Linked DNA regions of Zea mays. The main gene of each other region encodes a partner of the protein of the gene in region 2 in a complex. Links are inferred from orthologs where the notes say so. Each region holds a gene or a part of one and is shown on either strand. Other genes may lie near its edges.

Region 1 (4,110 bases), on a different chromosome or scaffold from region 2:
CCTGCAGCTTGGTTGGTTTGGCCTGGCCGCCAGGACACTAACGCAGCTGGGCACAAGGTTCCGGACCAGGTAACTAGCCGGTGCAAATAATGCAAGTGGCCAAGTGGCGGCTCCCTCAGCCTACTTGCAGTTGCAAACAAGAGTGGGCTGAGGGCTACTGCTGGGCACCATAGCCAGATCCAACTAATGGCTGTTGCTCCCTGTATGTGCATGCATGCATGGTTGAAACATTGGTCATAGTCCAAAATGATATTTTAGTCATAGTTCAAAACTCTAAAATTCTGCTGGGAGTCATGCATGGTTCAAACCTAGTTATCATGAATGGCTTAACACTTTTTAGAATTTTGGTTATGATCTGCGATGCACAAAGTATTAATAATGCAATTTTGTATTTTAACTATTTATACTTCCAGATATTCCTCGACATACTTCCAAGCATAGACGTGTCTATAAGTTATGACTAATCGTGTTTATTTGAAACAAAAAATAACGAAGACCAACAAATTCAAGAAAAATATTGTTATGCAACTAGTGGGTAGACCTACATTACCCATTGGGTCAACAGGTTCTGGCCCTATCAGCCAATTTAAACTTTGAAGCGGCCCTTTGACGTTTGACCTATTGGCCTTACTTTTGTGGGTCAGGTCGACTACCCAATGGGTCGACCCGACCCATTCCCGTTCCTAGCCATGAACCACCCCACAAGAATAAAGAGATATAAAAAGATGAGGATGAATTGCTTCAAGTTCTTTCGCGTGCTGGAAAAATTGAATAAAGTAAAAGAAGAGTACTCAAGGTTCTCTAGTTGTTCAAAAGAATCTAATGATCCTGACTCAATCTATGATAGATTGGCTGTTTCCCCTATGACTTTGTGGACAACTCATGGACAGCCTATTCCCTTATTGATGAATTTGGCCACCAAATTGCTTAGCCAACCAGCCTCATCTATAGCTTTATCCATAGTGTCAAGAGAAATGCCATAACTCAGAGCATGTTGAAGATTTGGTCTTTGTCTGCCAAAAAGAACTGATGCATATAAGACAGGAGAGACAATGATGTGGGATGTGGGAGGAGATTTTTTTATTCACTTGGTGGTATTGGCATCCTTGAAGTGCCTGACCTCTCCCTTGATGGGCCTGAATTGCAAGCTGTGTCTTTTGGTTTGGGTGATCTCCAGCTTAATGTTGTGGATGAGAATGAAACAAGCAAGACAAATGCGGAATAGGAACTTGGTGCGAGCCTGAATTGCAAACCTGAATGCCTTTTATTAATTTCTTAAATTTGAGACTACTGTATTTGAGAATTGAGACCTGCTGTGCTTTAATTAGAACTTAAATAGTTAAGTAGATTGTGGTGTTTCATTGTTAGATTGCTATCCATTTTAATATGCATTATTATCCTTTTATTTAAAAAATAGTAAAATGTATTCATGAATGGGAATTTTTAGGAAATTGCTGTATCTGTGTATCAGTATCCTTGTGATACCGATACATGTATCAGTATACGTGCTGCATAGTTCTACAAAAGTACTCATATCAAGTTTGTGTGACTTTCTGTTTTTTATAGGTTCTAGAAAGCAAGTCAAAATAATATGGCCCAACAGAGCAACTTCAGCTAGGTTTTGAAAGAAGGGATGACACTGCAAGACGGTAAACAAAAGCTAAAAACGGTGCTCAAGTGTGAACGTGTGATTCTAGGCCAAAAGATCACCTTGTTTGTTGGATGTGCCATTGCATTTCGGAAATTGGCATTTTGGAGAAGCTCAAGAAAGAAAAGGCAGTGTGGATACCTGCATCATCAGCAAAAACAATGAGCAAGCCATTTCCTCTGTTGCAGAAAAAACCACTGAATATGGTATCACTCACATTATGTATTTGATATACTCTGGTCGCTGCCAGTATTTTAGATACTTGAGGTACCCGATAAATGCCTCATCCTCGAAATATCTATTCTGCGCTAGATCTATTTGGGAAAAGAAAGAGCATTCAAATCATCCATGCAGTACCAAACATGATGTGCATTGAACAAGAAAGTTCAAGTAAAAAACAAGGAGCCATGAGGCACACAAAATGATGATATCAAGCAACACTACTAACAATATCACAGCCTTAGCTTAGCAATCATATCCTATTGATAAGAAACCGCTCATGAGGCCCATGCAGACGAGACCAGTTTGAATAGGGGAGAATGGGATTTAGGCTAGTACTAAAAATTCCTAAGCACTCCTAGCTCCCTTCTCAAGCAGGGACTTACTGACAAACACACACTTCTACAAAAATTTTCAGTCCGTTGCAATGGATTGCTAGTTACTAGCAGCACAGCCCCTATCAAAATTGGTAACAAACCGGTACAGGAAAACGTTCTATAGATGCGTGCAACATCAGATTAGCTAATCCCAACAAGGTGAGATGAAACAAGAGAATGGAGGACAGTACAGTACAGTGGATGTAGGTAGGGTTGGCGAGGCACTGCACGAACTCCAACTCGAGTAGGAATCGCTGACTCCCATTGTCAGGGTCCTTGTACGGCGGCGGCTTCCCACCCACGCCAGGGTTCTCGACGTCGGACATCGGGGTTCAATCGGTTGAAACCAGGGGCAGATCTATTAAAGGAACAAGGGTGTACATGTGTACACACATTAATCAAATAGTCTGAGGTTAGAGTTTTGAGAACTCGATTTCGCACAGCAGACAGGGAACTAGGGAAGAGAAGAGGGTGGGAATACTTGGCGGGCGCTCTTCGCCGGCAAACAGATCGGAGAAGGTCTCGGCAGTCGGCACCTGGCGTACGGCGGCGGCGGTAGCCGACCCCGAGAGAGAATGACCGGATCTTGGAAAGAGGGAGTATCGACCTGGACTGACGCACTGTCAGCGGTGCGAGCCAGGCGGCGAACGGACGAGAGGAGGTGCCGTGTGCGGTTGGAATTTTTTTACTTTTATTAATCCTTTTTAAAATTATACTACCTCTAGTTTTTTATATATGACGCTCACCAATTCATTTTTGACTTGTTCGACGACAAATAAAAAAATCAAGGGAGTATTATTTCCTAAAAATAATATAGTCACTCTCTCTTCTCTTCTCTGAAGCACTCTCTGCTACGTAAAGCACTGGTTTTTAAGTTTTCACATCGTCTCTGATAAAAAAGAAGTATTTTTTTTTTAATCTAACTCAATCCAAATATCTTCGCGTGTCGTGGATCACGTACGTAGATTTATTTCTCCCCCGTTTCTCGTCTAATAAAATAGAGAGGGGATAAGACTTATTTTGCTATAGTCAAACTAACCCAACTATAAATCCCTCTTGTAGATCTATCTATTATCGATCATCACAAAGCGCCCTACTCGGTAGATATGCTCGCGCTCCATTGTCAACCTCTAGGACATCTGTCGGCGTCTCGAGACCGGGGGGTCCCTAAGCCGACGAGTGAGTGTGCCGCGTGCCCCAGCCCAGATGGGTCGAGCGCGTGGGCGAGCGCGAAGAGGGGAAGCGAGGTGGCCGGAGACGGGCGTGAGAAAGGTGGAAATCCCGCGGCCTTCGTGTTCGTCCCGCGCCCAGGTCGGGTGCGCTTGCAGTAGGGGGTTACAAGCGTCCACGCGGGTGAGGGAAGCGAGCGGCCCCAAGAGAGCGCCTGTCCCGTCCTCGTCCCCGCGCGGCCAACCTTTTCTAAGAAGGCTCTGGTCCTTCCTTTTATAGGCGTAAGGAGAGGATCTATGTGTACAATGGGGGTGTAGCAGAGTGCTACGTGTCTAGCGGGGGAGAGCTAGCGCCCTAAGTACATGCCGATGTGGCAGCCGGAGAGATCTTGGCACCCAGCTGGTGTGGTGTCGTGGCTGTCGGAGGAGCGACGGAGCCTGGCGGAGGGACAGCTGTCGGAGCGGTTGGGTCCTTGCTGACGTTCCCCTGCTTCCGTAAGGGAGCTGAGAGCCGCCGTCGTCACAGGGCTAGCGGGGCGCCATCATTGCCTATCTGGCAGAGCTAGCCAGATGGGACACCGGTCTTGTTCTCTGCGGCCCGAGTCGGCTCAGGGTAGGGTGATGATGGCGCTTCCTGTTGACGTGGCGGGCATGTGCCCTAGGTCGGGCGACGTGGAGGCTCCTCCGAAGCCGGGGT
Region 2 (2,518 bases):
CCGCGGCCCGACCTGAGAACCATGTCGTGCCTGAGCCACCGTCTCAGTCTATAGTGCCGGCCCGGTCCGACGTGGCATGATTATATTTTTTTAAATTTAAATGTATTAGTATGTATATATATTTACAATATTTATCCTCTGTGTAACACAATATTTAGAATATCTATAGAAGAGGGCCACGGTTCGAGCGCTAGTATGCTCTCTTTTTTCTTATTTTTTTTCCCGTGGGAGAGCGCTGCGCCGCGCTGAGGGAGACCCAATGCACAACGATTTTCCCACTTAAATACAGTAGAGACTAAAAAGAAATAGACTCAGGCACTGACCAGCTTCTTCTCTTGTAGTTGTACAAGAAACCCATGGTGATTTAAAGTCCGAAAAACTAGAAAGTCTGCCTTGCCAACATATTGTCTGCAGAATAACCAAGTAAATATGTCATTCACAGCACATTTACAAGAAAATGATGCAACAAGTTGGCATTGAAAAGAATGAGTAACAAACTTGTTGTTCATATGCTCCTGGGCTATGAGGCGAACAATCTGCATTGTTTCTGGCCAGTCCGCTGCAAGTCTGCATGCAGAAAGTACGGCTTTCAGTTTCCTACTAAGTCTAGATGCATAATTCGAAAGTACCACAAAAAGGTTCCATTGTTAAACATACCCAATGAAAATTTCTAGTATCATTTCTTTCAAGACAAGGACAACGACAACATAACATCAACTAACAAGAAATACTTACCTCAATCATAGTAATCAACAGAAAACACTGTATAACAGAGATTCAAGAAAATGTAAGGTTTATTGCAAAAAATCAGACACTTACGTTTCAGACGCTGTTCCACTCCTATAACCCTGTCAGACATTGTTAAAGTGAGAAATGTCAAAACAAAAAAGCGAAAGAGCTGCACAAGTAAGACTCCAGCTTTGAAGGTGATAACAAACTATGGCTCAAAATGGGCATCCGCAGCAATTGATACAGTCCATTTCTAAAGGGGTTAAATTCTCTCTACCTGAAGTTTAAAAAAACACGATTACAACTTCAGAAGTTTATTCAAAACTAGTTTATTTCCAGTCTTAGCAAAAAGATGGGTCAAAGATATCACAAAACTTAGTTGAACGAGCATAGAAGTGTTGTTCATACAGATCTACAAAGAGCATAGAAGTGTCATCATATCTCAGGAACTCAGGAACCATTATTTCTGCTAAGTAATGCTGCAGAACAAAAAACTACTAGAAACTTTTATAATTTCTTACAATATACTATATTTTTTTGGAGACCAATAATGCAAAACAAAGACTTACTTCGAGTTTACAAATTATTACAGGCTGTCCTTGCCTTTGGCCAGATAAAGTTCCCTGAAATACAGATAAATGGCAAACATCATGTCAGGGTCTAAGGAGGCCCACGGAGGAGCTGCGGCAGCAGCAACCATGGGCCCTCCAAGGGGATTAGATAAGAATAGTTAGAGATAATATTAGAAGATTAGTTGAGATTATTTAGGAGATTAGTTGAAAAGCAGGAGGGGTGTCGATGGGCAGGAACGTCGGCCGGGGGCGTCTACCCACGGCCGAGCAAGAAGAGGGTTTCTCCCTTCTAATTCTTGTCTGCTTTATTTCTCATCCATTGATTACATAAATAGACCGGCTGGCCGCCCCTATCTAGCTAGAGATCCTTATCTCCTTAAAACTCTCCTAAAAACTCTCAACAAACTACTAACTAATAACCTTCCTAGATAATCTCAACTAATCTCCTAAATAATCTCAACTAATCTTCTAATATTATCTCTAACTATCCTTATATAATCCCCTTGGAGGGCCCATGGTTGCTGCTGTCGCAGCCCCTCCGTGGGCCTCCTTAGACCCTGACACATCAGTTGTTGAAAATCTCTGGCCAACAAACAAGATTGTATGCAACATAACTCCCAATTTTTGCACTACAGTATCATAGCCACAGCAGGGCCTAAGGCTCCAATTAGCAGTGTTATCAAGTCATCCAGTTAATCGTGATTAGTCGTCCTAGTTGGTATCCTGGACTCGACTAGGGGCTACAACTCGATTAGGCTGATTAGTTTTCTGGTCGTCTGATTAGTTAGACAACTAGGAGGTGGATAACTGGAATTGATGAGCAACTTAGGACATGGGTTGCATCTAGGATGGCTTGCTCGTGTTTTCCTGTCCAATTTGAAACCCTGCGTGCAGCTATCACCCTAGAGTTATCTTCATGCTTGATTTGTACTCTCGAACATATAGTATATAAGTATATATTTGGTATATTAATCCTGATATATATATAGGATAGGATGAATAGGGGACAACTATGGCCAACTAGTCGCCTTGATCGACAACTAATTGCGACTACTCGCCCTGGTCGACGACTAATCGCGACAACTCACCTAGTCAGCCCCATGGCGGCTAGGATCGGCTAGACGACTTGCTAACATTGCCTATTAGTCATCTTCTCTGCACCGTGCTTACCATTTATTTCAAGCAACTCATTTCTATGTTATACTGGAGAGGTGGGA
Region 3 (3,666 bases), on a different chromosome or scaffold from region 2:
CTGTCGCGGGCGTCGGTGGCCATGAACGCCTACTACCAGGCCCGGGGGAGGAACTCGTGGAACTGCTTCTTCAACGGCACCGGCATAATCACCATCACTGACCCCAGTGAGTGCTTCCTTGCTTGCTGTGAGTGTCTCATTGCCCGTGAACCGTGTTGGGGGAGCTGACACCGGATGATGGATCATTGGATCCTCTTGCAGGCCTTGGCACCTGCAAATATGCTTGACACGACGGGCTGCTCTGCTGCTGCTGTGCTCAACGGACGATGAATAAGGCTGTAGGGGAATGATGCATCTTTTCCTTCTCTTTGTTTTGTTATTGTGTCTGTGTGAGTGAGCAGGGAGTATCCTTGCAGAACCAACCAGTATCATGTCTGAGCACTGTAGAGAGAATTTCCGTGCTTTTATTTCCCAAATACAGTTCTACTCCAGGCCAGTGGCTGGAGGGGAGTTTAGGAACAGGTGTCAAAGGTCTCAGGTACTGAACAAATACCAAAATATAGAAGAAATCCCAGAGGAAGCCAGGTGCCAGATCCATTAAAAAGACCACCACAGTTCAAGCGTCAGTTCATACTAAAAACATTGCACCTTACAACCAAAGGTCAATCCTAATCCGGCAGATCAGAATGCCAGTACACAAAAGCTAAGTGCAATTATTGTTCACTAGTAGAGAATCTGAAAAGACGGAATATAAAGTTCTTACTGGCATTCATCCTCCACACTCCATCCACAGGAACAGTTTCTTTTCAGCAAACCTGCTATGGCAGACATTGGATTTACGTCAACACAATATCTTATGAGCTAGATCGGTTTCCAACACTTGATGCCAAATACATACAAAACCAAGAAGTAACTGTTGGAGCCAAATTAAAAGAGAAATTGACTTTGACAGTGCATTGATAAGTTGTAGGAAGAAATTCATCTCAACTTACATTAACGTAATTAATCTAGCTTCTTAAAATTTATGCAATTGTCTGTTGCTTCATTAAACAGCACCTCAACCTGCTTCAACTCCCTTTCTGTAACGCAATGACATCAGTAATTAGACATATAATAGTAAGAACTCTAGAAACAGTGGGGATCGTGTTACCGGCAGCTTCAAGTTGCTTCTGGAGCTCCAGTCCCACGACTTCATTCTCTGCCTGCAAATTTCAGATTTTCATACAGTTTATTTGGAGTAGGAGTTTGGCAGATGCCCATCCTGTGCTCGATGAATTAATCTGACTGTCTGATATCTACCTGTAGCTCTTGGATTCTTTTCACTTGATCCTCTTCTGATGATAGTGGCACTGCTGCAACAAGTGCATCAAACTGCATAGAAGGCCATAATTGTTCCTCATTTAAGGGGAAAAAGTTGGAACTGCAGCAAGCATAATTTGAACTAAAGTTTGCCAGTCTTTACATTTCAAGTTTTCAACCATGGTTAACACAAAGTGATCTCCCTCACTCCCTCCCTCCCGTATGCATCACTCTACGTCTGTACGCTGTTGTTGGGATAAACATCTTATCTTAGGAAATGGAGCAAGAGATGAAGATTCTACGTCTGTACGCTGTTGTTGGGATAAACATCTTATCTTATGAAATGGAGCAAGAGATGAAGACTCTACGTTATGTACATTGTTGGGATAAACATCTTATCTTATGTAATGGAGCAAGAGATGAAGATTGTTCTGTACACTGTTGGGATAAACATCTTATCTTATGCAATGGAGCAAGATATGAAGACTAGTAAGTGGCAACACGGTTTCATTGTTTGTCTCCACATAACGCGGGCAAGCAAGCAAAAATTAAACAGTTGGTCCTTCACTTATTCGCAGCATCAGACTTACGAGTAAAACTACGAAGCGAGCCGAAACTTTCTACTTAACCACACAAAGATATTTTGGAATCACCGGGCGGGCATTTGGTCCAGAAGATGGGGACACCGAGAAGAGAAGTGGGGCAGGGTACCTACCTTCTTGGCCGCGAGGACGAGGGCGCGGCTCATAGCCTTGGGTTGCTCGGTGAGGTCAGGCGCGGGCGGCTGCGCCTGCGCCTGCGCCTGCGCCGGTGGCGGCGGCGGCGCGCCGGGCTGGGCCTGGACCTGGGGTTTGGAGTCGTCCTCGGGCTTAGGGTTGGGGTTGAGCGGGTCAGGGTAGCTGCTGGAGAGGCGGTCCGGCGGCGCGTCCCTCTGCAGCGTGCCGAAGGTGTTGACGGCCAGCACGGCCATCTCGTCGAGCTGGTCCTGCAGCTGCGTGATGATGTCCATGCCGAATCCCCACCACTCTCTCCCTCTTCTCCTTCCTCCGTCCCAGACTTGCAGGACGGCGGCTTTATTGTAGCAGGCCGATTTCATCCAGGAATGGGTCTGCAGGATCCAGCCCACGTAGCATGGACCAGGCCGGATCTAAAAAATGTATGTGCCGGTATTCAAAAGATGCTCGCTCATATTCCTGGGATACCACCAAGTCTTCCGGTCACCACACATTTGCAGAATGCTGAGCCATCGGCAATTTTACCATTGTCATTTATAGGCTTCATTAATATGACGTCGGACCCTAAATTATAGACACAGATGATTCTATCAGTTATAGATATGGGATAATATAATAAAGTCAAAACTGAGAGTGACAAAATTATAAATTGTTTGGCACCAAAAGGAGCGCGGACGGAGGCCGGACAGTCCGCGGTCCGGACAGTCCGCGCCTGTGGGCCGGACGGTCCGTGCGTGCGCAGAGTAAATTAGGGTTCCGAGTTTTGTGCTATGTTTGTTAGCTAAAATCGCGGGAAAAGCTCGGAAATTAGTTTGTAAAGGGTCCAGCCCCCTCCTCTATAAATAGAGAGGTATACGGCCGATTTGTAATCATCAATCGAATCAATACAACTTATATTTCACATTTATTTCCTGTACAATTAGGAGTAGTTCTAGTCTAGTTCTAGTTTAGCCTCTCGATCCCCAAATCTTCCGCCTCTCCTCGACTCTACGTCGATTAGAGAAGTCTAGGTCAGTCTACCCGAGCCTAGACACCACCTAGGATCTCTCCTCCCCGACGGGGTCCCTCCCGGGAGCGAGATCCAGGCGCCGCCGGCGATCTCCCGCCGCCCCTGCGCACGCGCGGACCGTCCGGCCCTAGGGCGCGGACCATCCGGCCGTCAGGCAGGGAACCTTAGCTCCTGCGCCAGGTCGCGGACCGTCCGGCCCTGTGTCGCGGACCGTCCGCGCCTGACCAGAGAGCACCACCGCCTCGCGCCAAGTCGCGGACCGTCCGGTCCTGTGCCGCGGACCGTCCGCGCCTGACCAGAGAGCACCGCCGCTGGTTTTTTTAAGTGATTGGCGCCTCCAAAAAGGTGTCAACATACTTTTTGGCGACTCCGCTGGGGACACAAATATAGACGCATCAAATCGGCCCTCAATGGCCGGTTCAAGAGATAGCTCTAATATTTCCCCAAGCAACATCATAGAGCCGACTTAGGAGACCTTGCCGGCTGACGAACAGCTCCAGTTCGAGGAGCACAAGGAGCAGATGATCCAGGAGGCAAAAGCGAGGTTCTTGGCCAACTTCAAAGTGGACAGGAACAACAAAGTCGTCCGACATCGGGCGACAGATCCGGCTTCACTGCGACCCACGCCAGACATCCCCAATGTAAGTAATACAAACGAGCTGTAATCTCTTAAGAATTATGTAG

Evidence for each region. The genes of interacting proteins can lie anywhere in the genome.
Region 1: mediator of RNA polymerase II transcription subunit 25 (region 2) and Mediator of RNA polymerase II transcription subunit 31 share a complex: the UniProt entries of both Arabidopsis thaliana proteins name them as parts of the mediator complex. The link is inferred for Zea mays from reciprocal best matches to the Arabidopsis thaliana genes PFT1 and MED31.
Region 3: mediator of RNA polymerase II transcription subunit 25 (region 2) and Mediator of RNA polymerase II transcription subunit 21 share a complex: the UniProt entries of both Arabidopsis thaliana proteins name them as parts of the mediator complex. The link is inferred for Zea mays from reciprocal best matches to the Arabidopsis thaliana genes PFT1 and MED21.

What each region holds. Positions count from the first base shown.
Region 1 is NC_050096.1:207,962,185-207,966,294, reverse strand, and holds the start of Mediator of RNA polymerase II transcription subunit 31, read right to left. Parts: upstream 2,801-4,110; 5' UTR 2,726-2,800; intron 2,603-2,725; 5' UTR 2,571-2,602; coding exon 2,441-2,570; intron 1,963-2,440; coding exon 1,866-1,962; intron 1,790-1,865; coding exon 1,711-1,789; intron 1-1,710. UniProt on the Arabidopsis thaliana protein: Component of the Mediator complex, a coactivator involved in the regulated transcription of nearly all RNA polymerase II-dependent genes.
Region 2 is NC_050097.1:178,591,883-178,594,400, forward strand, and holds part of mediator of RNA polymerase II transcription subunit 25, read right to left. Parts: intron 1,353-2,518; coding exon 1,299-1,352; intron 849-1,298; coding exon 820-848; intron 568-819; coding exon 499-567; intron 409-498; coding exon 324-408; intron 1-323. UniProt on the Arabidopsis thaliana protein: Component of the Mediator complex, a coactivator involved in the regulated transcription of nearly all RNA polymerase II-dependent genes.
Region 3 is NC_050099.1:37,998,941-38,002,606, reverse strand, and holds Mediator of RNA polymerase II transcription subunit 21, read right to left. Parts: upstream 2,249-3,666; coding exon 1,955-2,248; intron 1,312-1,954; coding exon 1,240-1,311; intron 1,143-1,239; coding exon 1,091-1,142; intron 1,020-1,090; coding exon 943-1,019; 3' UTR 933-942; intron 759-932; exon of another isoform or gene 756-758; 3' UTR 501-755; downstream 1-500. Other genes in the region: putative X8 domain containing family protein isoform 1 precursor, read left to right, coding at 1-106, 202-227. UniProt on the Arabidopsis thaliana protein: Component of the Mediator complex, a coactivator involved in the regulated transcription of nearly all RNA polymerase II-dependent genes.